6 linked regions of the Callithrix jacchus genome follow. The protein of the gene in region 1 purifies or fractionates together with the protein of each later gene. This does not show direct contact. Links are inferred from orthologs where the notes say so. Each region holds a gene or a part of one and is shown in the gene's direction. Other genes may lie near its edges.

The links.
Region 2: the proteins of EIF2AK2 (region 1) and ADAR purify together in Homo sapiens (affinity purification with mass spectrometry; 3 studies listed by BioGRID and IntAct, with this or other methods). This does not show direct contact. The link is inferred for Callithrix jacchus from reciprocal best matches to the Homo sapiens genes EIF2AK2 and ADAR.
Region 3: the proteins of EIF2AK2 (region 1) and STAU2 purify together in Homo sapiens (affinity purification with mass spectrometry; 3 studies listed by BioGRID and IntAct, with this or other methods). This does not show direct contact. The link is inferred for Callithrix jacchus from reciprocal best matches to the Homo sapiens genes EIF2AK2 and STAU2.
Region 4: the proteins of EIF2AK2 (region 1) and DHX30 purify together in Homo sapiens (affinity purification with mass spectrometry; 3 studies listed by BioGRID and IntAct, with this or other methods). This does not show direct contact. The link is inferred for Callithrix jacchus from reciprocal best matches to the Homo sapiens genes EIF2AK2 and DHX30.
Region 5: the proteins of EIF2AK2 (region 1) and STAU1 purify together in Homo sapiens (affinity purification with mass spectrometry; 4 studies listed by BioGRID and IntAct, with this or other methods). This does not show direct contact. The link is inferred for Callithrix jacchus from reciprocal best matches to the Homo sapiens genes EIF2AK2 and STAU1.
Region 6: the proteins of EIF2AK2 (region 1) and ZNF346 purify together in Homo sapiens (affinity purification with mass spectrometry; 3 studies listed by BioGRID and IntAct, with this or other methods). This does not show direct contact. The link is inferred for Callithrix jacchus from reciprocal best matches to the Homo sapiens genes EIF2AK2 and ZNF346.

Annotation. Positions count from the first base shown.
Region 1 is NC_133515.1:77,877,160-77,881,922, forward strand, and holds the end of EIF2AK2 (interferon-induced, double-stranded RNA-activated protein kinase), read left to right. Parts: intron 1-1,690; coding exon 1,691-1,744; intron 1,745-1,822; coding exon 1,823-1,945; 3' UTR 1,946-4,000; downstream 4,001-4,763.
Region 2 is NC_133519.1:15,011,073-15,015,325, reverse strand, and holds part of ADAR (double-stranded RNA-specific adenosine deaminase), read left to right. Parts: intron 1-307; coding exon 308-2,040; intron 2,041-4,153; coding exon 4,154-4,253. UniProt on the Homo sapiens protein: Catalyzes the hydrolytic deamination of adenosine to inosine in double-stranded RNA (dsRNA) referred to as A-to-I RNA editing.
Region 3 is NC_133517.1:29,340,937-29,345,756, reverse strand, and holds the start of STAU2 (double-stranded RNA-binding protein Staufen homolog 2), read left to right. Parts: upstream 1-1,413; 5' UTR 1,414-1,441; coding exon 1,442-1,495; intron 1,496-1,953; exon of another isoform or gene 1,954-2,067; intron 2,068-4,820. UniProt on the Homo sapiens protein: RNA-binding protein required for the microtubule-dependent transport of neuronal RNA from the cell body to the dendrite.
Region 4 is NC_133516.1:30,550,421-30,554,673, forward strand, and holds part of DHX30 (ATP-dependent RNA helicase DHX30), read left to right. Parts: intron 1-17; coding exon 18-319; intron 320-741; coding exon 742-862; intron 863-1,545; coding exon 1,546-1,695; intron 1,696-4,253.
Region 5 is NC_133506.1:44,266,145-44,271,115, reverse strand, and holds the start of STAU1 (double-stranded RNA-binding protein Staufen homolog 1), read left to right. Parts: upstream 1-1,971; 5' UTR 1,972-2,215; intron 2,216-4,971. UniProt on the Homo sapiens protein: Binds double-stranded RNA (regardless of the sequence) and tubulin.
Region 6 is NC_133503.1:69,132,517-69,137,461, reverse strand, and holds the start of ZNF346 (zinc finger protein 346), read left to right. Parts: upstream 1-1,668; 5' UTR 1,669-1,702; coding exon 1,703-1,877; exon of another isoform or gene 1,878-1,937; intron 1,938-2,143; coding exon of another isoform or gene 2,144-2,212; intron 2,213-4,945.

The DNA of each region.
Region 1 (4,763 bases):
AAAGACCATAAACTTTGTTAAAGAGCAAAAGCTTTGGTCTTCCCTGGAAGGTGGTACATCTCATAAGACTCATAAGACTTGATTCAGTCTATAAAATGTTATTGATTAACTGCTTTGTGTAAGACACTGTACTAAGTGCTATAAGGGTTGCAGAAATGAGCAAGCTTTGGCCAGGCACGGTGACTCACGCCTGTAATCCCGACACCTTGGGAGACCAAGACAGGTGGATCACTTGAAGTCAGGCATTTGAGACCAGCCTGGCCAACATGGTGAAACCTCATCTTTACTAAAAATACAAAAATTAGCTGGATGTGGTGGCGTGCACCTGTAGTCTCAGCTACTCGGGAGGCTAAGGCATGAGAATGGCTTGAAGCCGGGAGGTGGAAGTTGCAGTGGCCTGGGTGACAGAGTGACATTCTTTCTAAAAAAGAAGCCTTCTTCTCAAGATGCACCTCAGCCTCCTGAGTAGCTGGGATTACAGGCACACGCCACTGTGCCCAGCTAATTTTTTTTGTAATTTTAAGTAGAGACGGGGTTTCACCATGTTGACCAGGTTGGTCTCGATCTGCCGACCTCGTGATCCACCCGCCTCGGCCTCCCAAAGTGCTGGGATTACAGGCTTGAGCCACCGCGCCCGGCCTAGGATGCTTATTTTCTAAAAGAGAAGATAATATAAGAAAATTCCATAAGCATTTTAGGAGAAGGTATGAAGTCTGTGGAAGCAGCTGGGAGGGACATCTTTCCAGCTAGCTGTAGGGACTTAGGTTTCATGGAGACACTAAGCTGAGCTCTGAAGGATCTCTAATAGTCCAAAACAGAAAAGGTGATTCCAGCCTGGAGGCGGGAATGTACAGAGCATATTTGGAGACAGCAGGCAGTGTAAGTGTAAGTTGTATTGGAGTATGTAAGTTACAAGGAAGCAGTGGTTGTTGAGAATAGAAAGATAGGTTAGGCTAATTTGAGGTAAAAATGTAGACTTTCTTGCTTAGGCAGTGGGGAGCCCACTAAAGACAGCAGGCAACTGGATATCCTACTTTTTCTTTTTTTTTGCCCAGGCTGGAGTGCAATGGCACAATCTTGGCTCACTATAACTTCCGCCTCCCATGTTCAAGTGATTCTCCTCCCTCAGCCTCCCAGGTAACTGGGATTATAAGCATGTGCCACCATGCCTGGCTAATTTTTTTGTTTTTAGTAGAGATGGGGTTTTATCATGTTGGTCAGGCTGGTCTCGAACTCCCAACCTCAGGTGATCTGCCCACCTCGGCTTCCCAAAGTGCTGGGATTACAAGTGTGAGCCACGGTGCCCAGCTAGATATCCTACTCTTAAATTCAGGAAAGGGAACTCTCCTGGAGTCAGTAACCTTATCCTCTGTAAAACAGTTAGAACCTACCTATCACATAGGGTTCCACAGTGCATGAAGGGAGATTGTGAAGATAATGCACTTAACACTTCAGTCATGCTGCAAGGATGGTTATTAGAGTGGGGGTAGGGTGTTTGTATTAGAGCATAGGGTAGGGTGGGAGAGAGGGAATCCTGCTTGCTTCTTGGCTAAAGAGACTTTCCCCAAAATCTGGAAATAGCCTACATTTCACAGGTATCTCCAGCCTTTAATTCTGTTTGTTTTTCCTCCCAAGTAAATAATTTCCTAATATATACCTATCTTTTTTTTTTTTTTTTTTTTTTTTTCAGTTTTTCACAGACCTACGGGATGGCGTCATCTCAGATACGTTTGACAAACGAGAAGTAAGCACTTGAAAATCATCAGAATTTTATTTATTTCAGTGTTTTATTTTTTACTATTGATTCTCACTGTCATTACAGAAAACTCTTCTACGGAAATTACTCTCAAAGAAACCTGAGGACCGACCTAACACATCTGAAATACTAAGCACCTTGGCTATGTGGAAAAAACACCCAGAGAAAAATGAACGAAACACATATTAGAGCCCTTCTGAAAATGTCTCTGCTTCTGATTTGCAATTTTCCTTGAATTATCTAATAGATATTTACCTTTTAACTTTTCCCTCTAATTTTTTACTACATTTGCAGAAAGGTTTTCTTCTTTTCGCTTCAGAAACATTCTTACATGTTATTTGTATCTATTATAATAACTGCTTTAAAGACAACTGTCCTGTAAGGCAGTAGCTACGAAGAGAAAATAGTCCAAATAGTCCATCGGGCAGGGGTGAGATCACTTTCTACTGAGGACAGTCCAGTGGGCCTCCCAAGTATATGTGAGGGTGTTAGATTACGAGTAGGGAGGATACCACCCAGGAAGTCTGGACAAGGGGACTGGGGTGAGTTCTGGAGAAGGTGTATTTGAGGACCATGGGGTATGCTAGTTTGTTGTCCTGAATTGCTGTAGAGAATGCTGAAAGATAATTTGGATTGTATCTGAGAAGACCTTGAGGGTTAATTTTAACTTTAGAGCAATTGTTTTCTTTTCTTTTTTTTTTAGATGGAGTTTCGCTCTTGTTACCCAGGCTGGAGTGCAATGGCATGATTTCGGCTCACCGCAACCTCCGCCGCCTCCTGGGTTCAGGCAATTCTCCTGCCTCAGCCTCCTGAGTAGCTGGGACTACAGGCATGCCCTGCCATGCCCAGCTAATTTTTTGTATTTTTAGTAGAGATGGGGTTTCATCATGTTGACCAGGATGGTCTTGATCTCTTGACCTCATGATCCACCCGCCTCGGCCTCCCAAACTGCTGGGATTACAGGCTTGAGCCACCGCGCCCAGCCTAGAGCAATTGTTTTCATTTGTTTTGTATTGCTTTAAATGGATAGTTGACGCTGGATAATTTATAAGGGAAAGAGATTTCTGTAACTTACAGTTCTGCAGGCTGTATAAGCATGGCACAAGCATCTGCTTCTGCTCAGGCTGCTTCCACTCATGGTGAAAGGTGAAAGGGAGTCGGATGTGCAGAGGTCACATGGCAAGAGAGGAAGAAGAGATAGAGGGAGAAGGTGCCAGGCTTTTTTTTAACAACCCGCTCTTGAGGAAACTAACAGATTGAGAACTCCTTGCTTCCCACCCCTAGGCATGGCATTAATCTATTCGTGAGATCCCTCACGACCAAAACACCTCCCATCAGGTCCCACCTCCAACATTGGGATCAAATTTCAACATGAGGTTTTTTGTTGTTGTTGTTGTTTTTAATTGTACTTTGGGTTCTGAGGTACATGTGCACATCCTGCATCCTGCAGGATTGTTGCATAGGTATATACATGCCATGGTGGTTTGCTGTCTCCATCCCCCACCTCCCCCGCTGCCTTGCCTACATCAGGCATTTCACCCAGTGTTATCCCTCCCCATCTTCCCTGCCCCCTCACTGCCCCTACTCCACCTCACCTAGCCCAGTGAGTGTTGTTCTCTTCCCTGTGCTCAAGTGTTCTCATTGTTTATCACCTACCTATGAGTGAAAACATGCGGTGTTTGGTTTTCTGTTCTTGTGTAAGTTTGCTGAGAATGATGGTTTCCAGGTTCGTCTGTGTCTCTATAAAGGACACAAACTCGCCATTTTTTATGGCTGCATAGTATTCCATGGTGTATATGTGCCACATTTTCTTTGTCTAGTCTATCATTGATGGGCATTTGGGTTGGTTCAGGTCTTTGCTATAGTAAACAGCGCCACAACGAACATACGTGTGCATGTGTCTTTATAATGGAATGATTTATAATCCTTTGGATATATACCCAGTAATGGATTGCCGGGTCAAATGGAATTTCTATTTTTAGATCCTTGAGGAATCGCCACACTGCCTTCCGTAATGGTTGAACTAATTTACACTCCCACCAACAGTGTTTCTAGTTAGGGCTTTGAAAATAAACAGCACAGTATACACAAAAGTAAATGACAACGTGGTAGTATATTTTACATTGTTTTACAGTTTCAAATTTCATATGAATGTTCTCAAACAAATTTTAAAATTCTTTTCAATGTTTTGGTTCCCTTGATGTTCCTTGTTGCGTATGTATAAAGTCATTAAAGACCTAAAAATAAGTTTTTATTCATATTGAAAGCCTGATTTTTTTTTCCTTAAGATGAGGGTCTCTCACTATATTGCCCAGGCTGATCTCAAACTCCTGGGTTCAAGGGATTCCCAACCTCACCCTGAGTAGCTGGGACCATAGGCATGCACCACCGCACCTGGCTGAAAGCCTGGATTTTTATCCTTCGATAGACAAGAACAGAAGGATATCTCCCACACTCTAAGCTGGTCTAGTTTTATTCCTAGGCCTGTAAATGTAGACCACAATCCTGGTGAAGTCATGGGTTCCATCAGTGTTATTCTGGCATTATCAGCATAATTGTTATCAACATGTTTAAAATATTTTAGGCCATGGAGCAGGTGTGGGTTGTCCCCATAGTAAGAGGAGAAAGGGAAGCCAGTTCCTGTCTAACTCAATTCCATCTGAAATTGTCCATTCAGCTTTGGGATTTGACTGAAAGTTGTTATGTTGGCTGATAATAACAAAGTATTGCAAGGGTAAAATGTGCTCCTCTGTTTTATTAGTAGCTAGGAATATAATTATATATATACATATACATATATATGCGTTTTGTGTATATATATATATTTTTTGTTTGTTTGTTTGAGACAGGGTCTTGCTCTGTCACCCAGGCTGGAGTGCAGCAGCATAATCTCAGCTCACTGCAACCTCTGCCTCCCAGGTTCAAACAAATCTCATGCCTCAGCCTTCTGAGTATCTGGGATTACAGGCATGTGCCACCACACCCAGCTCATTTTTGTACTTTTAGT
Region 2 (4,253 bases), on another chromosome or scaffold:
CTTCCTTAAATTCTGTCAAAGGGAAATATAAGTTAGGTTGCTGGAGAGGCTATGCTGAGGCCTCAGAACCTCTATGCTCCTGGAAGCTCTGTGTGCTTTGCCTCCTGCTCCCCTCTCTGTGTTCCCATTAGCAGGCCCCTAGGCAGGACTTACGAAGCGGGCAAGTCACCCTGGCCGGTTCATAAGCCCATGGCTCAATCACCTTCGCAGCCCATTAAGGGCTGTTCCATAGGCAGCAAAGGGAGGGGCCTCCACAGGTTCACCATTCGGCCTAATTCATTTTCTTTTCCACTGTCTTACTCTGCAGGGGCATTCCCTCAGTGGATACTACCCCTATCCATTTCAAGGCTATGAGCACAGAAAGGTCAGACACCAGCAGCCTGGGCCGGGATCTTCCCCCAGTAGTTTCCGACATAAGCAAATAGAGTTTCTCAAGGGCCAGCTCCCAGAAGCACCAGTGATTGGAAAGCAGACACCGTCACTGTCACCTTCCCTCCCAGGACTCTGGCCAAGGTTTCCAGCACTACCTGTCTACAGTACCGGATTCAGGAAAGAGGAGATCTGGGGTGTCCCCAGGAGCGTGCATTTTGGAAGGCAGGGGCTCCAAAGAGCATTCCAGCATCCTTCACCACGTGGTAGGATTCTGCCACAGAGAGGTGTCGATTGCCTTTCCTCAGATTTCCAGGAACTGAATATCAACCAGGATCAGGAACAAAGGATCTTAAAGCTCTTGAAAGAGCTTGGAGAAGGGAAGGCCACCACAGTACATGATCTGTCTGGGAAACTTAGGGCCCCAAAGAAGGAAATCAATCGAGTTTTATACTCCCTGGCAAAGAAGGGCAAGCTACAGAAGGAGGCAGGAATACCCCCTTTGTGGAAAATCTCGGCCTCAGCTCAGGCTCGGAACCAGCACAGCAGAGCAGTGAGACCAGACGGTCATAGCAAGGGAGCCCCAAACTCAGACCCGAGTTTGGAACCTGAAGACAGAAACTCCACGTCTGTCTCAGAAGATTTTACTGAGCCTTTTATCACAGTCTCAGCTCAGGCTCGGAACCAGCTCAGCAGAGCGGTGAGACCAGACGGTCATAGCCAGGGAGCCCCAAACTCAGACCCGAGTTTAGAACCTGAAGACAGAAACTCCACGTCTGTCTCAGAAGATTTTACTGAGCCTTTTATCACAGTCTCAGCTCAGGCTCGGAACCAGCACAGCAGAGCAGTGAGACCAGACGGTCATAGCCAGGGAGCCCCAAACTCAGAACCGAGTTTGGAACCTGAAGACGGAAACTCCACATCTGCCTTAGAAGATCCTCTTGAGCTTTTTGACATGGCTGAGATCAAGGAGAAAATCTGTGACTATCTCTTCAATGTGTCTGACTCCTCTGCCCTGAATTTGGCTAAAAATATTGGCCTCTCCAAGGCCCGAGATATAAATGCTGTGCTGATTGACTTGGAAAGGCAGGGGGATGTCAGTAGACAAGGGACAACCCCTCCCATGTGGCATTTGACAGACAAGAAGCGAGAGAGGATGCAAATTAAGAGAAACGTGAACAGTGTTCTTGAAACAGCTCCGTCTGCAATCCCTGAGATTCAAAGGCACGCAGAGTTCCCCACCTGTAATTTACCCACGTCAAATGCCTCAAATAACATGGTAACCACAGAAAAAGTGGAGAATGGGCAGGAACCTGTCGTAAAGTTAGAAAACAGGCAAGAGACCAGACCAGAGCCAGTAAGACTGAAACCACCTGTTCATAACAATGGCCCCTCAAGAGCAGGGTATGTTGACTTTGAAAATGGCCAGTGGGCCACAGATGACATCCCAGATGACTTGAATAGTATCCGCGCAGCACCAGGTGAGTTTCGAGCCATCATGGAGATGCCGTCCTTCTACAGTCACGGCCTGCCACGGTGTTCACCCTACAAGAAACTGACAGAGTGCCAGCTGAAGAACCCCATCAGTGGGCTGTTAGAATATGCTCAGTTCGCTAGTCAAACCTGTGAGTTCAACCTGATAGAGCAGAGTGGACCACCCCATGAACCTCGGTAAGAGACCACCCAGGAACTACCCACGGTTGGGTTCAGATGCTCTTGCTCCTGACACAGTGTTGGCTGATGTGTGAGTGGGGCTGTTTGGTGGCTTCTGTCTTTTCCTCCTTCCCTTCTGCCTTGTAGCTAAATCCTTGATTGGCCCTTTCTCCAGCTGTTGAGCAGGGAATATAGACTTTGGACCAGCCAGAATCTTGGTTGAACAAGGGGGAGGTTGACTCTGTTGGCTGTAATGAAGCTTCTTTAGAAATGACTGGTCTTGGAAGCTAGGTGTGGTGGCTCACACCTGTAATCCCAGCACTTTGGGAGGCCAAGGCGGGCAGATCATGAGGTCTGGAGTTCGAGACCAGTCTGGCCGAACACGGTGAAATCCTCATCTCTACTAAAATACAAAAATGAGCCAGGCATGGTGGTGCGTGCCTATAATCCCAGCTACTTGGGAGACTGAGGCAGGAGACTCGCTTTAATACAGGAGGTGGAGGTTGTAGTGAGCTGAGTCACGCCACTGCACTCCAGCCTGGGCAACAGAGCGAGACTCCATCTCAAAAAAAAGAAATGATTGGTCTTCATCCATCAATGCCATACTTGCCTCCTAAGGCCAGAGGTAATGAAGACTTAACTCCCTTCTGCGGGCCTTCCTCTCCTCCCCAAGCTGTTTCTGAGAGAGGTGCAGGAGCAGGTGGGTTGGGGCAGGCTGCACACACAGAGTGGGGGTGGGTTGTGCTGCTAAGCAGCACAGGTCCGCAATCCCCCCTCTGCACAGCTCCTTGGGGGAGGGATGGAGGAGCGTGTGCACGGCTGCCTGGCTGCCTATTGAAGGTGATGGTTCTAATTTTATATACCTCCTCTGCACAGATGGGTGGGCTAGCACTTGCTGCTGCTCCTGAGCTGTGAAGTCAGCGATTACCTCACTCAGATAGCTGGCCAGGCCCTGCACTGTAGGGTCCTAATGGGCCAGTAGACAGATAAAACAGGAGCTGCTGAAGGGCATAGCAGAAAGCAAAACCACTGAAGCTGGGTGGCTGCAGCTGCAGCCAAGGAGAGAGCCAGTGGGTTGGGGAGAATTCCACTGACCCTTATGCTTACCTTGCCTGGTTCTAGGGGTGTAGATTCCTGGCTAGGGCCCTTATTCTTTGTCTTGACTGTTTTCATGTCACCACATTGGCATTTCAGGAGAGCTGTTAAGAAAAGGGGGTATGTCTGTCCAAAAGCTGGCAAGGCCAGAGCTGGATCGTTTGTTTGGAGTAGAGACTGGATGGCTGTCATTCTCTTTTGCCTCTGTCCCTCCCCGGAGTTGGAGGAAAGCAGTGGATTTTGTGGTTAATCATTCTTTAGACTCAGCACTATAAGAAACATTGGCGCCATGTTCAGTATTTCAGAAGACCTAGGAAATAAGAAATTTGACCTACTTCCCAAATGAAATCGTAGATTGAGCAAAGAGCTGACCACATTTGAAAGCTTGAACAAAGCAGGGCCTAGGCTAAGTCCAGAGGCCTAGAACAAATGCTTTTTATTGTCTTCGTAACAAAGGGAAATTCCTTTCATCTCAGGCTTGAGACAAATGGAGCAATAGAGTGACTTGTAACAAACCATAGTGATAAATGTCTAGTGACGAAAGCAGGCCACTGATGAGTGGCAGATGCCTGATCCCTGCAGGTACTGGGGAGCGTGAGACTGGGTTATAAGAAACTTTCACTGTCTTTTAAGACCCTCCCTTAAGGAGGCCAGTCTACCACAGTCGCTCTAGAATGAAGGTCTTTTGGTTGTCAACAAGGCTGTAATGGCAATTTTTGGCTTATTGTGTGTGTGCGTATGTGGGGGGGGGGGGGAGAGAGAAAATTCATTGTTAAGAGATAGTGGGTTTCCCTTGAGATAGTTTCATATCACCTGTGCTCGTGTTTGCTTCTATGGGGAAAGAGTCACTGGCAGCTTTGTTTACAAAAAGAAAGGACAGGTTGAACCTTCAAAGGAGTAGGAGTTCCTTGGCCTACCCTTCATCCCCTCCACAGGTCAAAAGCCCCTTAGCGTAGCAGAAAATTCCAGGTTGAAGGTCTCTTTGGAGAAGGCAGAAGGAATGACCTGTTCACACATCTAACTGCTTTCCATCAAGATTTAAATTCCAGGTTGTTATCAATGGCCGAGAGTTTCCCCCAGCTGAAGCTGGAAGCAAGAAAGTGGCCAAGCAGGATGCAGCTATGAAAGCCATGACA
Region 3 (4,820 bases), on another chromosome or scaffold:
CTGTAATCTCAGCACCTTGGGAGGTTGAGGCGGGAGGATCACTTTAGGTCAGGAGTTTGAGACTAGCCTGGCCAACATGGTGAAACCCTGTCCGTACTAAAAATACATAAATTAGCTGGGTGTGGTGGCATGCTCCTGTAATCCCAGCTACCAGAGACAGGAGAATCAGAGGTTGCAGTGAGCTCAGATTGTGCTCCAGTCTGGGCGACAGAGCAAGACTTCCTCTCAAAAACAAACAAACAAAGATATAGTTCTTTTACTGTATGTTTTCTATGTTTAGATATGTTTAGGTACAAATACCATTGTGTTGCAATTGCCTACAGTATTAGTACAGTAATGCACCGTACAGGTTTGTAGCCTAGGAGCAATAGCTATATATCATATAGCAAAGGTGAATAGTGGGCTAGACTACCTAGGTTTGTGTAAGAACACACTATGATGTGCACAAAATGACAATCGCTTAATGACACGTTCCTCAGAACATAGTTTCCTCTGGTTAGGTGAGGCATTCTACTGACTATATTAGAATGCTGACTAGGTGTTGAGCCCCTAGAAGGAGCGCTACAGATTTAGGGAGGATGCAACATGTTAAATCTGAGGGAACTGGCAGAGGTGAAAACGCGCAAAGAGTTCTGGGAGGAAAAATATAGCTGTAGCTAACATTGTGCTGGGAGAGGTACTACATGCCAGGCCCTACTTAAAGGGCTTCATATGCATTGTCACATTTAAATAGAAAATATCACATGTAGTCTCCTCCTGATGCACAGGGTAAGTAACATTTCTGCGGTCTCCTCTCCAGTTAGCAAGCGGATAACCAGCCTTAGTATTTGACTCTGGCGCCCGGGCCCTTAACCAGAACACACCCTACCTTTCCAGTTGCAGACAGGAGATTGGTTTTAGATGATGACTGAAATTACCGGCCTGGGAGACATTTCTCAGTCAGATAAACGACACTGGGAAGAAACCCTAGAAATAACGTTGCAAATGGATAAGTTTGCGAAAACACACTAATAATTCGGTTTCGAAATTTCTTTTATTGTCAGATTATTTTTGGTGCCGTTTAATAAACGAAGTGTTCAGTTTCATCGAGCTTAACTGGGTTGAAGTTATTCAGACAAAAGTAATCCAAATCAAAATCAGGACGAATCAAGAGGTAATTTGTGTTTTCTGGCACTCTTGCTGCATAAATCTAGGATCTAGGGCATTGTTTTCAATGGTCCTCATTTTTGGCTCCAAGGATTTCTTTTTCATGTGACTCATTCTTTCGGTGGAGGAGGAGGTCTGGCTACGCCGCCGGTCTTGGCGAGCAGGTGATTACGGATCCCTGGTGTTTGCTGGGCGAGACGGTGAAACAAACTCCTCCCCGCCCCCTCCCCCGTCTGGAAAGGTGCAGGATCCGCTAAATCGTGCGTCGCACAGCGGCGGCCGGAGCAGACGCGGGATGGTCGCGCGTCCCCTGCACGGCAGAGAGGGGCAGCCAGAGAGCCTGGGAAAGGTACGAGCGGGGAATCCGAGCACAGGGTGCAGATCAGAAAGAGCAGACGGTCAGTCGGGCGGGGAAGGAAGTTGCGGAGTGCAGGTGTGGAAGGGGCTGCCCCAGGCCCACCCTTGGCAGACGAGGGGGTGGGGAGCCGCGCCGGGGACGAGGAGACTGCGGACGGGGCGCGCTCCTCGCGCACTCGCCCGCCCGCGTGCCCAAGGCCCCCGGGAACGGCCCTCGCCCTGGGGTCCAGCTCCCCGCCGCTGGCCCCGCAGAGCCTGCAGCTGCGGGGGCCCGGCAGCCGACAGGGGGCGGGAGCGGCGTCGCGAACAATGGCCGCGCTGAGTCGCGGGCTGGCGGGAGGCGGAGTGGAGGTAGAGCTGGCGCTGGGCGCGCGCGCCGGCCAGGCGTGCTGGGGCGCGGGAGCGGCTGCGCAGGCGGGGGCGCGCGGCGCGAGCGCCGGGGAGGCGGGCGGAGGCGGGGGGCGGGGAGCCCGAGGGGTGGAAGCCGGCGGCGGCCGAGCGGGGTCAGTTCACTGTAGTGTTTGCCAATGTTGGAGCCGTCGGCAAAGTGTCCCCGGCAAGAAGGTAAATACCCCTCATCTGGGGCGCCCGGGAGACCCCGACTTCCGCCCCTACGGCGGAGGAGGCAGAGGGCGCTGGGGAGCCTTGCAGGTCCGCGGCGCGGTGAACCCGGAGAACAGCGGCCCCCTTCGCGGCCTCCCCTCCCCCGCGCCTTCCCTCCCTCCTCCGGCTCTCTCCGGGCGGCGGCGGGAGGGGAGACCGGCGGGGGAGGGAGGGAGGGCCGGGAGGCGAAGCAATTGGGGTGTGGGGGGGCGTGTGTGGTGGAGGGGGTGGGACGACACAGGTGTCCTGAGGGAGGAGCCGGGAAGAAGGCGAGGAGGCCGGGCCAAGTCGGGGTGCAGAGGTGGGGGAGGCAGGAGCGCGGCTGTGGGCGCTGGAGGCTGGGGGTCTCGGAGGCCAGGGTGGTTACGGCCGGAAGAGGGGACGGCGAGTGCAGCCGCAGTGTGGCCGTGAGGGAGGGGGAGCACCTGGGGGAGGACTGAGGAGGGCGACCCGGGGAGGGTCTGCGGGGAATGGGCCTGAGGGTGCTGGAGGCGGAGCGACGGGGCCGGGGCGCTCCGGGGGGTGGCGGCGGCTATTTCTGTAGAATGGGTGAGTGGTAAAGACGTAACTTGCCGAAATGGGGAAGGTAGGTGGGGCCGAGGGGACAAAATATATCCTATGACGGGCAAGTTCTGCTGTGGCTCCTACGAACTCATACCATGATGGCTCGGCTTAAAGGGGTAGTTGGCGGTAGTGACCTTGCCAGGGTGAAGGGAGTTGGGCGAGGAGACAAAGCTCTGTTACGGAATCCACTGTGTGAGAGCAGGAACTCCGATCTCTCCGGGGGCAACCCGGGGGCTGTGGCCCGGAGGCGGGGGGTGCTCCGCAGAGGCGATTGAGGAGCACGCCACGCTGGGATTCTGGAGGGGATGGGCATAATGGCCGTGGGGTTCTGAAAGTCCTTGGATGTATGTGTAGAATTTTGCATTTGTGAATAATTTTCTTTGGTAAGGGTCCATATTGTCTGTGATGTCCCCCTACCCCCATCCCCACTCCAAAGGGTTAAGAACTGTTTAAGTAGATAGAGAGGGACCATTCAATTCGGATAGACCTGGGAACTTACCAAAGGATTTTAAAGTGGGTGGATCCTGAAGAAAGGATGGAGATGATCCTTTAAAGATACTTTACTGTTAACTGAAAAACGTTTATTATTTTATGTTTGATTTTATAATTTTAGTGAACTTTTGCTGAGCATTACTTGGTTTCTGATGCATCCTCTGTTTTAGACCAGCATAGTGAATACTTGAAATCAAAATTGTGATGGGCAGGCAGGATGATAGTAACGTTGGAGGAGAAAATATTTCAGTATTAAGCCAGGATATTTTTTCCCCGTCCTTGCTTTCTCTAGGTGGTTCAAGTATACAGTTGTGAACTGAGCTGCGGTGGAAAAATGTTATTTAATAAAACTACCAAAACCAAGACTTACTCTCCATTTCTGTTTTGTAATATGGCAAGATTTTCATTGTTCAATTTGTATTTTACTGCGAACCAGAGATATCACATATCACTTTAATTGTAGATTGCTGCATTTTGCAGCAGGCCTGTATTAAATTTGTGAAGCAGTTATGCCAAACTATCTGGTGTGTTTGTGTGTTTTTCCTGCTATGGTTTCAAGTCAAGTCACCATTGCCACATTTTATTATATGGTAGGGTAGTCTGAAATTTATTCCTAAGTGATGATTAGTTGGTAGGATATGGTACATACTTGCTCACAAATTACTGCATATTTTTTTCCATAAAAACCAGTGTTTTGTATTTGTAAGAATGTTGCTGTATGATCCAAGTATGTATTGTTAATTTCAAATAGAATGCTGTGTAATTTAAAAATTTTAATTTATTTGGAAATAATTTCAACTTTACAGAAAAATTACAAGAATAATACAAACATTTTGGTAACCTTTATTCAGATTCACCTGTTAATGTTTTCTGCATTTATTATTTGCTCTCTATCAGACACAAAATATTTTTCCCCTGGACCATTTAAGTTACATACATTGTGGTCCTTAACTCCTAAATACTTCAGCTTGGAAAATCGTGTGAATTTTACATTTTAGCTTACTTGGCTTGTCTGGAATGAAGTGCTAGGAAGGGTGACTTGGTTTGCTTTTCAACAAAGAATATGAATATAAAAAAATCTGAGATAGTCATCAAGCTTTTAAATATACAGATAATCCAGAAATCGAGGATTACTGTTTAGGTTCTAGAAGAGATAGTCTTCCAAATGGTTTTTGTTTTTTTTCCTTTGTGCCTACCCTTCTCTTTACTCCTGTTATCTCCTTTTTTTTTAGACACGTTCAGTGCTGGGTATCTGATCATTTATGTGTGCAGATCATAATAGAGGGAAAACTCTAGATACTGCAAAGTTGAATTCTCTATTGCATAGTTTGAGACATGCACAGTGTGATTATTCACACTTAGATATATTTGTGTCCCTTATAGGGACACAAAATATTAGATGAGTGTCTAGAATCATAATGATTATAATTTTTATGTGTGCATCGTTTAATTTTAAATAATCCTCCCCTAGTTCTATATAGGAGCTTTGCTGTTATGTTGTCCTAGAGGTAAAGCCCTTGACTTAATAAGAAGGCAAATCTTTTATTTTTCACCACGCTGATGCTTAAAAAATTTAAAAAAGGCAAGTCTTTTATAATTTGGTATGTAGTGAAGAAAATAGGACTTTGAGCCAGAGTGAACTGGGTTTTAATCCTAGC
Region 4 (4,253 bases), on another chromosome or scaffold:
TCCCTTTTCCCCTCCAGGGCTGGGGTCTGCTGGGTCCCCGGAATGAGCTGTTTGACGCAGCCAAATACCGAGTGCTAGCTGATCGCTTCGGCTCCCCTGCTGACAGCTGGTGGCGTCCGGAACCCACCATGCCCCCTACTTCCTGGCGGCAGCTGAATCCGGAGAGCATTCGGCCAGGGGGACCTGGGGGCCTATCCCGCTCTTTGGTTCGGGATGAAGAGGAGGATGAGGAGGAAGAGCTAGAAGAAGGGACCATAGATGTTACCGACTTCTTGTCCATGACCCAGCAGGATTCCCACACCCCACTCAGGGACTCAAGGTACAGAAGGGGGCTGGGGATGCAGTAGAGGCTGGCTGTACCTTGACACAGGGTTGTGCGAATGTTCCTTGCTAGCCTTCTCTGAGATGGGAGTGCCCCGCCTCACATTTCATCCTGTGTGTCCCGTCACTCAGCATATGTCTGCGTAGAAGCCAGCTATGGTCTTCTACTGTGTGGCTGGGCTTTTGCAGAACAGCAGCATGGAGCCTTTGCCCTCTGCTGTCTTATCTGTGTGGGGGCATGGAGGGAGCACTCCCCATGCGGTGTGACTCTGGGAGCAGCAGAGATGTCCAGTTTCCCATCCAGTTCATGCCTCCTGGCTCCCTGCTGCAGTGCAGCGTCCTCACTCCTGCATCTCAGAGCCTTGAGGAAATGGGTCCACGAAGAGAGAGAACTTTCAGCTAAACTTTTGTCCCTTCCAGGGGGAGTTCCTTTGAGATGACAGATGATGACAGTGCCATTAGGGCTCTGACCCAGTTTCCACTTCCCAAGAACCTTCTGGCCAAGGTGATTCAGATTGCAACGTCATCCTCCACAGCTAAGGTGAGTTAGCTCTCCCAGAAGTGTGTGTGGGGTGCTGACTTGGTCACGTCCAGTGTTCCCCAGAGGCAGGCTTACGGAAGGCTGAGGGGCCTGTTCTCTAGCCCACACCTAGGCCAGCTGGGGGAGCTCCGGCTCGGAAGGAAAAGTAGCAGATGTGACAGAGCCAAATCCCAGCAGTACAGGGAGAGGGCCAGGGGCTGCAGGAGCAGACGGCCTACACCTGCACCTGTTCTGGGTGGTGTGTTGTCAGTTGGAGGGGTTAGAGGTCTGGGTCTATGGTGAGGTATGAATTCCTCTCTTGCTACCAGGCAAAGAGGCTTTGGGTAAGCAGAGCTTCTGTCCAGGTGCAGGGCCTTTTTGCTCCTGCAGTATGTGCCTGGTTTTTAGCTCATGCTGACAGCTTCAACCCATAGCTGCCAAGGAGGGCAAGTCGTGGCATTGCCTGAGCACTGTCTTCTGCAGTGGAGGTTGAGCTATAGCAGGAGGAGCGAGCCCGGGACTAGGCTGCCTGAACCCATGGGCCTGCTTCTGGCTGTGCAGCAGCACTTTCAGCGTGGCTCATGCCTGGCACCTGCTGAGGCGTTACTTCCTTCCATGTCTGGGCTCCTTAGCATTCTGAGAAGGCCCCAAGTCTCTTCTCATTTCCTCCCTTTCTGTAACCACCTCTCTTGCCTTCCATGTAGAACCTCATGCAGTTCCATACTGTGGGAACCAAGACCAAGTTGTCTACGCTCACCCTGCTTTGGCCCTGCCCCATGACCTTTGTTGCCAAAGGGCGCCGCAAAGCAGAGGCTGAGAATAAGGCGGCAGCCTTGGCCTGCAAGAAACTGAAGGTGAGTCCAGTAAGGTCCTGGGTGTGATGCATGAAGATATCTTGAAGCTCCCCTCTACCTGTGGCAAATGGGTCTCATTTTCTAGGAAATGAAACCACCACAGCAGGCCTTTTGCGTGGCACAAAGACAGCTGGTGTGCGGGCCTCATTTTTAGGCCCTGTGGCTGTTTTCACGGCTTCCCCAGAGCCCCTGTGGAGATGCTTTGCCTGTGGCCCAGCCTTTTTCACACCGTTGGCCTGAACGTGGTGAAGCCAGGAGGAAACTTGCTCATCGTTCTGAATAGTATAAAGCTGGGAGGAGCTGAGCCTGTTTTGGGAGGCAGACCTGATGTCCAATATGATCCTGATAACCTGGGCTTTGTGGCCAAAATGAATAATGTGAGCACAGAACAAGGATTGACTGGTAGAACTAGAGGCGGTTTGAGCTTTGGCCTGACACACATGCGCTGATGCGCAGGACTTGTGACTGCAGTGAAGATCAAGGAAGCAGTCAGCATTGGGTGGAGGCAGCGTGGCAGGCAGCTGGCAGTCCTCTCTTCTGAGACAGGGTCTCTGTGACCCAAGCTGGAGTGTAGTGGCACGATCACAGTTCCCTGCAGCCTTGGCCTCCTGGGCTTAAGTTATCTTTTCACCTCAGCCTCCTGAGTAGCTGGGACCATAAGCACGCGCCACCATACCCACCTAATTTTTTAACATTTTTTTGTAGAGACAAGGGTCTCACTGTGTTGCCAAGGCTGGTCTTAAAATCTTGGGCTCAATTGATCTTTCTGCCTTGGCTTCCTAAAGTGTTGGGATTGCAGGCATGAGCCATCACTCCCAGCCATGGCAGTTCTCTTGAAAAAGGGGCTGTGGAGTTAGCTGATGGCACAGTTAATGGGAGGGGGATTGTCTTTTTTTTTTTTTTTTTTTGAGACGGAGTTTCGCTCTTTTTTTTTTTTTTTTTTTTTTTTGAGACGGAGTTTCGCTCTTGTTACCCAGACTGGAGTGCAATGGTGCGATCTCGGCTCACTGCAACCTCCGCCTCCTGGGTTCAGGCAATTCTCCTGCCTCAGCCTCCCGAGTAGCTGGGACTACAGGTGTGCACCACCATGCCCAGCTAATTTTTGTATTTTTAGTAGAGACGGGGTTTCACCATTTTGACCAGGATGGTCTCTATCTCTTGACCTCGTGATCCACCCGCCTCAGCCTCCCAAAGTGCTGGGATTATAGGCGTGAACCACCGCGCCCGGCGGGATTGTATCTTACTGCCTGAGGAGTTACGAATCTCAGCCCATGTTGGTGGAGGTTTAGTTTGCGGTATAAGATGGAAATAGGCCTGCTTTACTCTGGATGGTCAGGTGCACCATTTCACTGGTGCATTTGGCTCTGGGAACCACATTTTAGTTACAGCTGATGGTGAGAGGTAACAAGAACCTGGAGAAAGGTGAGGAAGAGGGGACAGGCAAGTGGTGAGGTAAAGGGGGAGGAATGTACTCCCTATGACGGGAGCGCAGAACAAGGACTGACTGGTAGGACTGGAGGCAGTCTGAGCTTTGGCCTGACGCATACGCGCTGATGAGCAGACAGGCCTTAGCATGGTAGGGGCCTGTCTGGGAAGGAGCAAGCTTTGCAATGGCTGGAGGGCCATGTTTCAGTGAGGCTGGTGGATAAAACCCTTGAAGTCTGGGGAAAGGGCAAAAAGCCTGTCCTGCAGCACGGAGCTTGTATTGGCACCTTCTGTGTTATGGGGCCTGGTTCCCTGTCCTTGAGGTCCTTACAGCTGATGGTGCCAGCACGCCCAGAGGCAGGGGGTTGGCCCCTGTTGAGGGAAGACTTCTTTAAGGAGGGAGTGTTCAATCTGGGCAGACTCCAGACATTAGAGGTGACAGGAACACAAGACTGGTCTTACCCATGTGCCTGAGGTATTAGAATGCCACATTTTATCTTTGGTGAGGCAGCTTTAGATAAGACACAGTATTTTCCTTCCAGTGGCTCATTTTATCAAGTTGCATTATAATCGATGTTTACAGAGAATTCCATGTACATCTGTATATGATGGGGTCAGAGATGGGTCAGGTGCCATGTAGAGACTGGGAGGTGGGGTGGAGGGATGGCGGGAGGGAGACTTGGTGAGGCTTGGTGAATCAGCGTAGGAAGAGGGAGTCTGTGGTGTGTTCTGGCATCACTGAGGGCCTGGCCTGGCTGGGCTGAGAGTACATGTTGGGAATTCATGGAGGTGACAGTGACCTATTGTGATGTCAGGGGAGCTCCAGCCACACAGCAAGAGGTTTCTCCTCAGGGCCACCTCCAGACATAGGGCTGTTCTTTGACACGTCAGGTTTAGCTTTTCTTGAATTATTACTATCATTTTTTGAGACGGAGTCTTGCTCTGTTGCCCAGGCTGGAGTACATTCATGATCTTTGCGCACTGATACCTCTGCCTCTCAGGTTCAAGCGATTCTTGTGCCTCAGCCTCCCTAGTAGTTGGGATTACAGGCGCCTGCCAACATGCCCAGTTAATTTTTGTATTTTTAGTAGAGATGGGGTTTTGCCATGTTGGCCAGGCTGTTCTTGAACCCC
Region 5 (4,971 bases), on another chromosome or scaffold:
TAGAAGGAGGAAAGAAAATTGAGACTGGAAGTCATAGACCCACCACTTTCGCCCTCATGGGTGACAGCAAAACCACCTTTGATGAGATTGTCTGATTGTGCCCATGACCCCAGCTTTGGGTTTAGGGAGAGCTCGCTGCATCTGCTCCTTTAGCCAAGGAGCTATGAGATCCACACTGCTTGGAAGTTAGAAAGAAAAAAAAAAGGCTGGGAGTGGTGGCTCACGCCTGTAATCCCAGCACTTTGGGAGGCCGAGGCGGGTGGATCATGAGGTCAAGATATCGAGACCATCCTGGTCAACATGGTGAAACCCCATCTTTACTAAAAATACAAAAAATTAGCTGGGCATGGTGGTGCGTGCCTGTAGTCCCAGCTACTCAGGAGGCTGAGGCAGGAGAATTGCCTGAACCCAGGAGGCAGAGGTTGCAGTGAGCCGAGATCGCGCCATTGCACTCCAGCCTGGGTAACAAGAACGAAACTCCATCTCAAAAAAAAAAAAAAAAGAGGTCAAAGGATTGAGACCATCCTGGCCAACGTGGTGAAACCCTTTATAAAAAATAAATAAATAAGAAAGAAAGAAAGAAAAAAAAAGATCACTTTCAGCAGAGGGCTGGACAATATCTGAATGTTCCTAAGTACTGTCTTGGATGGGCACTAAAGGAACGGTGAAAGTCCTTTGACTATTTTCGGTGTTCTGAAACTCAGTCTCATTGCACTTCAGAAGAAGCAATGTAAGGAGGTCTTGTCTAGAGAAAGGTGTCCTCCCAGCCTTGGATAAGGCTCCAAAGCCTCGTTTGGAGGGGCTTCTTCAGACACAGCCGCTCATATTCTGAATTTATATTCCTTTGGCAAGAGAGATTGAGCAATATTTAAACTGAGAGATATCTGAGAGAGAGATAATTATTTTTAAATAGCAGGGAAGCAGTTCGAGTGAGCAGGAGAGAGGAGCCCTGTGCACTTGCAGTTCTTCACTCATTCTCCGTTTCCTGGACCTCTCACAACGCGAGCATAATTTTCGCTGAGTGTGATTCCAGAAGTTCAATATTCTCTACTGGCCACCCTGTTCTCCCTCCAACCTCCCATATAACATGGCTGCTACAAACCACGTAGTTTATCTAGATGTGGATAAAAGAAATAGCAATCTGGCACTTCTTTTATCTCACTATAAATTTTATTTTTTCTTTGAGACAGAGTCTCGCTCTGTCACCCAGGCCAGAGTGCAGCGGCGCGATCTTGGCTCACCGAAACCTCCGACTCCCTGCTTCGAGCGATTCTCCTGCCTCAGCCTCTCCAGTAGCTGACATATCTGGCGCCCGCCACCACGTCCGGCTAATTTTTGTATTTTTAGTAGAGACGGGGTTTCACCATGTTGGCCATGATGGTCTCAATTTCCAGACCTCGTGATCCACCCGCCTCGGCCTCCCAAAGTGCTGGGATTACAAGCGTGAGTCACCGCGCCCGGCCAAATTTTCTAAATTTATTTATTGTGTGTTTTACTCACACAAGAATGTAAGCTCCACGAGGGCAGGGATTTTTGTCTGTTCACCACTACATCCCTAGCTCTTGGCGGAATGCCTTGCATACAGCAAGCATTTAATGAACATTTACAGATGAAGGAAGAAACATTGCGGGAAGGAGAGAAACGAGGGCCAGAGGCAGGAGAAGAGGAAGAACCGAGAGAAGGAAGGAAGAAGGAAGTGGAGGAAAAGAAGGCAGGCTGGTTCTCCCAGCCCCGCTACTAGTCCAGCAGGCAGCGCGAAACTCCCACCGGAACTACAATTCCCGGCAGGCCCCGGGGCCCCAGGGCTGGCCGCAGCGGCTCAAACCGGACATGGCTTCACTCCCGCTGGGCTACCGGCGTGCCTTGCGAGCGCAGGTTGTGCCGCAGCGCCCGCCGGAACTTGTGGTCCTGGCCGCGGGTGGGGGTGGCGGCGGGCGGGGGCCGGGGGCGGGCGCCGGCCCCTCCCCCGTCACTTCCTGCCGGGCTGCGGGCGCCGGAGCGGCTCTTCAGCGTTTGCGCTGGCGGCTGCCGTGTCTTACTCGGCTCCCCCTTCCTTTGACCCCCCCCCCAGCCCGGCGGCGCCCGCCTTCTCCGTGGCCACTCCGCCTCTTCCCTCCCTTCGTCCCGTCCTCCTCTCCTTTTTTCCTTCCCTTCCCCTCCTCGCCGCCGCCGCCCAGGACCGCCGGCCGGGGGACGAGCTCGGGGCAGCAGCCAGGTGAGGCGGCCCGGCCCGGCCGGGCCTGGCGGGGCCCGCGCTGGCGCCGCGGCGGTGGGGAGTGGGCGGCGGGTGGGGCCTAGGCCTTGGCGGGCCTGCGCGCCCCGCCGCCTTCCCCCGGGCCTCTCTCCAGCCCGCGGGGCCTTCCCGGAGGAGGCGGGTCCTCCTGCGCCCCCCGCCTCGGGGCGCCCTGAGGCCTGGCCCCCGGGCGCCCCCATCCGCTTCAGCCCTCGCCGGGGTCACAAACAGGTGCCGTGGCCGCCTTTCCTCGTCCCGCATGGCGCGCGCGGGGATGCCGAAGTTATTCCCGGGGCTGAAGCTGGGGGTGGGGGGTCCCCGTTTTAGGTCCCCGAGAACTGGAGCCTCTCAGTCTCGCCGGCCCAGGTCTGCAGCTTAGTGGTTAAGAGCACCGCCCAGGTGTCCAAAACGGGTGCTAATCCCGGCTCTGCCCCATTAGGCAAGACACTTAAACTCTTTGTGTCCTGGTTGGAAAAGGGGCTGCTGATACAGTCCCTGCCTCTTATGGCTGTTAGGGTTCAGTGAAATGGGGCGTGTAAAGCGCTTATCAGAGTGCCAGACCCACAGCGTGTCCCAATAAACCGTCTGCATAATTTATTAGCGTGATATGAAGGATAATTTAATGGGTAGAGTGGATAGAAGTTGACCTACCTATCCGTTTGGGTTTCTTAGAGGCTCAGTGTTGCGCGTGCCCGTGTCCAGAGCCAGGGCATTGTTTTGAGTTGTTAACATCTGAAAGAGGCATACGCTTAATTGGAACACTGTAGTTGGCAGTCTGTAAACGATAGATGCTATTTCTTTCCATCTCCTCCGCTTAGCCAACTGCAGGATATTCACCAGCTCCCGCAGGATGAGCAACCTGTCCATTTCCCCCCGCCCGGCCATCATCCAGCTTCTTGTCATTCCATTTCTGGGAAAGTTGCTGGCAGAAGCTTCCCTTGTGTTAAGCAGACCTATCTGGAGCACTTGCAGTGTGTCAGGCTTTGAAGGGGGGGTGTACGAAAATGGAAAAATTTGTCTGTCTTTTCTTGCTCTACATCTCTTAAGTTTTTTCACCGAAGCTTTGCTTTTATTCCCCCCCTCCCTGATGGCTGACTTTCCTTTTAAGCCCTGGCCCCGCCTCCTTGTTGCAGTATTGCTTGTGTGGGAAGTTTTCTTGGGTTCCGCGAAGATACGTACTTCGGTCTGTCCTGCCACTGTTCTTTGGCCGTGTGGACCTTTTTAAGGGGTCACACTTCTCTTCTGCTTGTAGCTTTCATTGTTCAGAACGTGGTGGAAACAGTTAAATCAGGTTCCTGGTTGATTTTGGCCTTTCAGGAATCCGTGCTTACCAAATGTAAATTACGTTGCTACTTGTTGAGGTAAAAACTAAAAATATAGTTGGAGTGTAGAGGGAGCAGTTTCGGTTATCCTGGTGACAGGTGGGATTTTTAGAACAGCAACTTTATTAAAGGATACTGGGTTTTAAAAACTTTTGTACTTAGTTTTATAGGTGTACTCAAAGGAAATGCAACTTATGAATGTTAAATTTTATACGAGTAAGGAGTGTGTGTTTACCTGAGTGATCCTCCTGTATCGTTGTAGGCATTGAATTTCCTTAGTGAACTGAAAATATTTTGATTTATAACCATCTTTTAATAACACACATGTGGCAAAGTGCCCTCCTTGTTTTTGACAAATTTTCCTAGAATTTTCTTACAGCCTTTTTTTTTTTTGGAGATGGAGTCTCACTCTTGTCTCCCAGGCTGGAGTGCAGTCGGCTCACTGCAACTTCTGCCTCCCAAGTTCAAACGATTCTCCTGCCTCAGCCTCCTGAGTAGCTGGGATTACAGGTGCCTGCCATCGCTCCTGGCCTGAATTGCTCTTTTAAAACATGTGGGTCAGGCGCGGTTGCTTTCCTGTAATCCCAGCACTTTGGGAGGCCGAGGCGGGTGGATCACGAGGTCAAGAGATTGAGACCATCCTGGTCAACATGGTGAAACCCCGTCTCTACTAAAAATACAAAAAAAAAAATTAGCTGGGCACGGTGGCGTGTGCCTGTAATCCCAGCTACTCAGGAGGCTGAGGCAGGAGAATTGCCTGAACCCAGGAAGCGGAGGTTGCGGTGAGCCGAGATCGCGCCGTTGCACTCCAGCCTGGGTAACAAGAGTGAAACTCCGTCTCAAAAAAAAAAAAAAAAGTAAGCAGGCAGGGCACAGTGGCTCACGCCTGTAATCCCAGCACTTTGGGAGGTGGAGGCGGGTGGATCACGAGGTCAGGAGATCGAGACCATCCTAGCCAACATGGTGAAACTTCATCTCTACTAAAAATACAAAAAGTAGCCGGGTGTGGTGGCGGGTGCCTGTAATCCCAGCTACTCGGCAGGCTGAGGCAGGAGAATCGCTTGAACCTGGGAGGTGGAGGTTGCAGTGAGCAGAGATAGCGCCATTGCTCTCCAGCCTGGGCTGTCGCAAACTCCGTCTCAAAACAAAACACCACCACGTAACCAAACAACTAGTACACAAGCCGTATAAAGCATGTCTTCTATTGCTGTATCACAATGGCATATTGCAATAGGGAAATGGTATTTCGAATACCATTTTTTAAAAGTTTTTTTATTCTGGAAAATATGCAAAAATTGAATAGTATGTAGAACCCCATGTATTAGTCACTCAGCTCTAACAATTATTAACTCATAGCCAAGGTCGGTCTTGTTTCATGTTGCATCCCACTCTCAAACTAGATTATTTTGAAAGAAA
Region 6 (4,945 bases), on another chromosome or scaffold:
GTGAATCACCATGCCTGGCCTACTGTTAACTTTATTATTGTACTCCCCTCCACTACAATAAAAAATACTCTACTAGAGCTTCCCTGTCTTGGTCACCAGTATATCTCCATGCTCAAAATATCTAGTTCATAGTAAATCCTCCATAAGTATTTGAACAAATGAAGTTGAAATAAGCTAGTAATATTAAAAGCTTCATTCATTAAACAAATATTGTATATGTACCTAGGAGGGTCCAGGTTCTATTTCAAGGTGCTGGAGATTCAGGTGCGATGAAAATAGACAAAAGGCCGGGTGCGGTGGCTCATGCCTGTAATCCCAGCCCTTTGGGAGGCTGAGGCAGGCAGATCATGAGGTGTTTGAGACCAGCCTGGCTAACATAGTGAAATGCCATCTTTACCAAAAATACAAAAATTAGCTGGGCGTGGTGGCATGTGCCCGTCATCCCACCTACTCAGGAGGCTGAGGCAGGAGAATCGCTTGAATCTGGGAGGCAGAGGTTGCAGTGAGCCGAGATCACACCACTGCACTCCAGCCTGAGCGACAGAGGGAGACTCCATCGAAAATAAAAGAAAATAGACAAAAATCCCTGCTTTCCTGGGGCTTGTCTTCTAGTAGGGAGACAATAAACAAAATAAAATATATACAAAATAAAGCAGGAAAGAAGGACATGAGTGTGTGTGGAGGAGTAAAATTTTAGATGGGATAGCCAGAGAAGATAATTTAGATAGAGTAGCCAGAGAAGAAAATGGGAGACCAAGCCATAAAGATATATAGAAGAAATGCACACAAGGAGGCCTGTGTAACTGGGACAGGAATTAAGGAGTTGGAGACTGAGTAACACACGAGGAAATGAGGTCAAGGAGATTAAGGGAATTCAGAATGTACAGGACCTTGTTGGTCAATGTAAGAACTTTGGCTTTTACTAAGTGTGAGATGGGAAGCTGCTGGAGGATTTGAGAACCAAAGCGTCGTGATCTGATTTGTCATGAGAGGATCCCTGGGGCTGCTGTGCGGGGAATACCAGTGAGAATGTTACGACCGTAACCTAGGCAAGAGATAGTGGCTCCCAAAGACACGAGAAGGTGCAGCTCGGGGGTTGGAAGATAAAATATGGGGTCTGACAGTTACATTGGAAAGCCTATTAGCCATTCTAGTGGAACTGTGAAATAGGCAACTGGATGTATGTAACAGGTCCGGAGTCGCGGGGAAAATCAGAGCTGGGCTGGCATTTAGAAGTCAACAAATAGTACCCATTATTAGCAGTAATACGGAACCTCAGCTGTACTACCACTTACTAGCAGCGAACTCTTGAGTTAACCATTTCTAGGCTCTGGGTGTTTCCCTGTAAATGAAACGGCGAAAACACTCCCACTTAAAGGGACCTTGAGAACGAAATGAAGTGTTAAAGACTGACCGTGAGCAAAGTGAGAGCCCTGAGTCAAAACCGCACGAGTCCCTCCGGGAGGGAAGTCACTGCTGTGGAATCAGCGACGGGTTTCCGAATCTACAGCACACGCTCCGGAGTCCCAGAGGTAGCAAAGAAAAATAAGCGCCAGGTCCCGCACGGCGGCGCTGGTGCAGCGCCCAAACCTCGCGAGATTTGTTAGCCGAGCCAAGTTTCCACCCCCTCCACCCCGCCCCCATCTCGCGATACCTAGGCGCCTGAGCGGCTTTTGGCCAACGGTTAGGGCTCGCGAGGAAGATGGAGTATCCCGCACCGGGCACCGTGGAGGCCGCAGACGGCGGAGGGGCCGGGCCTTATAACAGCTCCAAGGAGCTGGAGCGCCAGGAGCCGGATGGGGTGCGCTTCGACCGCGAGAGGGCGCGCCGCCTGTGGGAAGCAGTGTCCGTTGCCCAGCCAGTGGGGAGGGAGGAAGGTGAGTCGGAGGCAGGAAGCCCCTCACGCGCCCACGCGGCTCGCCGGGAGCGGCGGAAGCGCGGGTGGCACCGTGAGCCGGCCTCCGGGTGTGCGGTCACACCCCCTGGCCCGCCTCCTTCCGTGCTGCGCCCCGGGACTCCCAGACTTGTGCTCCCCATCCGGGCGCTGGCACCCCAAGAATCGGGCCCCCAGCGCGTTGAGGATGAAGGACCGCTCACGCTCAGGCCCTGGATTTTTCCCCTCCTCAGTCATCATTCATCACAGCGCAGTTTTTCCCAAACTCGAGGACTGTCATCCCTATACTTGACCTTTCGGAGACCCACAGCCTTTGCTGTGGCACTCCCCGTAAGCCGAGCCAAGTGTCCCTCACCACTCTTTGACTCCTCATCGTCCCAATCTCCAGATTTCCCCCCGAGGGTCTCTTGCCTCCCTCCTCTCAAGCCCCACACTTCGAGGGCTCTGGAAGGCCTTCTCCTTACCCCCTGAGTTCCTCCTGTTCTTGGTGACTGAACCCTGACTTACTCCTGTTTCTAGCTCTCTGGCCTCTACTTGCTGGGTCCCTTATTCTAAGGTGGGGACCAGGAGCCCGAGAAACTGGTCTGGGTGTGCTTTGGCTCCAGCTTCTTTATGTCCTACACTTGACCCAGAGTTGCTGAGAACAGCGTAAGCAACGCCACGGCAGGGGTCACTTCTGGGCCGAAGCGTCCCAACTTGGTCTGCACTTGACCTAAGACTGGGTAAGATGGGAGATAGAAAGAGAAGGATGGAAAAGAGCTGTCCTGACCTGCTTTTGTGACCCCTTTCACCGTCCTTTGTAGAGCCGGCTGCTTAATGCTAACCCAAATGTACAAGAACTTTATCTGAGCTTCTATGCTAACCCTGTCAGGTATATGCAGGGAAATCAGATTTCTCCAGTGATTTGTTTGCTTGCTGAGCAGACTGTCTTGGAAAGTTTAATATGCTGTTTGTGAACTAACTGCCCTGGATAAAATTGAATTTTTGGCCATATCTAAGGAAGATATGTTTAAATTAGGGGTGGTACACAGACCTATACCTTGGTATATACTTCACCAATTTAAAAACAAGTCTAGCCTGTCTCCTAAGTTAATGTATTTTATATATATACACACACATATATATCTGAAAGAGACAGGGCCCCAGAAATGGTGTGTGTATATATATGTTTTATACACACACACCCCATCACCCCATTTCTGGGGCCCTCTCTCCTTTTATATATACAAAAAATAAGGCCCTCTCTCTTTTTTTTTTTTTTGTGAGTGGGTCTCATTCTGTCACCCAGGCTGAAGTGCAGTGGCACAATCTCACTGCAACCTCCGCTCCTGGGTTCAAACAATTCTACTGCCTCAGCCTCCCCAATTAATTGGGATTACAAGCAGCCACTATCATGCCCGGCTAATTTTTGTGTTTTTAGTAGAGATGGAGTTTCACTATGTCGTCCAGGCTGTTCTCAAACTCCTGATCTTAAGTTATCCGCCTGCCTCGACCTGCCAAAGTGCTGGGATTACAGGCGTGAGCCACTGCGCCCAGCTCTACTTTCAAACTTGTTTGGTAATTTCCTCCCCCAACCCCAATTTTCCTTTCATTAATTTGATAAACATTCACTGATGCCTGCTCTGGACCCAGAACTGGTTGGGCTTCAGAGCTACAGCTTATCGGAGGAAGATACTGCCCTTGCCCTGGGGAGGTTTGCAATCTAGTCCAGGAAGCAAACACCAAAACAGTTCCAGTGTAATGTAAGGGATGCAGTGATGAATGTTTTAAGAGTTGGGGGTGAACAAAAAGAAAGTGATGTTTGCCCTGGATCTTGAAGCAGAAAACACAGAGACTGTGCTTTGAAAAGTGAACTGTCTGCTTATGTGTGTATGAGTACAGTGGCACTGTTATGATCCAGTTCATTTCCCTGTTCTCCTCACTTCTTCCACATACATGAAATCTAGGTAGATACCTGCAACACTAAGTTCTACTTACCCTTTTTTTTCTTCTAGCCCTTTCATTGAGTTATAATTTATATACCACACAACTCACCCATTATATCTCCAATGATTGTTAGCAAATGTACAGAGTTGTATAGCCATTACCACAATCCAGTTTTAGAACATTTCCATCAACCCGGTTAGTTCCTTTGAGCTCATTTATATTAAATCCCCACTCCCACCTCCTGCCCTAGGCAACCGGTGATCTGTTTTCTGTCTAGGGTAGTCTTTGGAGTTTGGCTTCTCAGCATGTTTTTGAAGTTCAGCCAAGTTATGGTGTGTATTAGTACTTCATTACTTTTTGTTGATAAATAGAATTCCACTGTATGACTATAACACATTCTATTAATCCATTCATTAGTTCTAGACATTTGGATTGTTTCCTGTTTGGAGTTTTTGTGAATAATGCTGCTATGAACATTCATGCATAAGTTTTTGTGTGAACATACGTTTCTTTTCTTGAGTATATCCCTAAGAATGGAATTGCTGGCAGAGCACGGTGGCTCACGCCTGTAATCCCAGCACTTTGCAAGGCAGAGGTGGGCAGATCACCTGAGGTCAGGAGTTTGAGACCAGCCTGGCCAACATGGTGAAACTCCATCTCTTAAAAAAAAAAAAAAGAATGGAATTGCTGGGTCATATCATAACTCTAAAATATCTTTTTAATTTTTATTTTTTATATTTTTATCAAAATGATCTTGTCGCAGTAACTCTAATATTTTGAAGAACTACCAAACTGTTTTCCAAAATGGTTTCACCTTTTATATTTCTGCCATCAGTGTGTGAGGGTTTCAATTTTTCTATAACCTTGACAGCACTTGTGTTTTTTCATTATAGTCATTCTAGTGGGTATGTGGTGATACCTCATTGTGGTTTCCCACAGACTGATGATAGTGAGCACTTTTCATGGGCTTACTACCCATTTGTAGATCTTTGGTGAAATAATCTAGTCACATCATTTGCCTATTTTGTAATTGGGCTGTTTGTCTTCTACTGAGTTGTAGGAGTTGTCTTCGTATTCTAGGTATAAATCTTTTATAATAGATATGATTTCCAAATATTTCCCCCT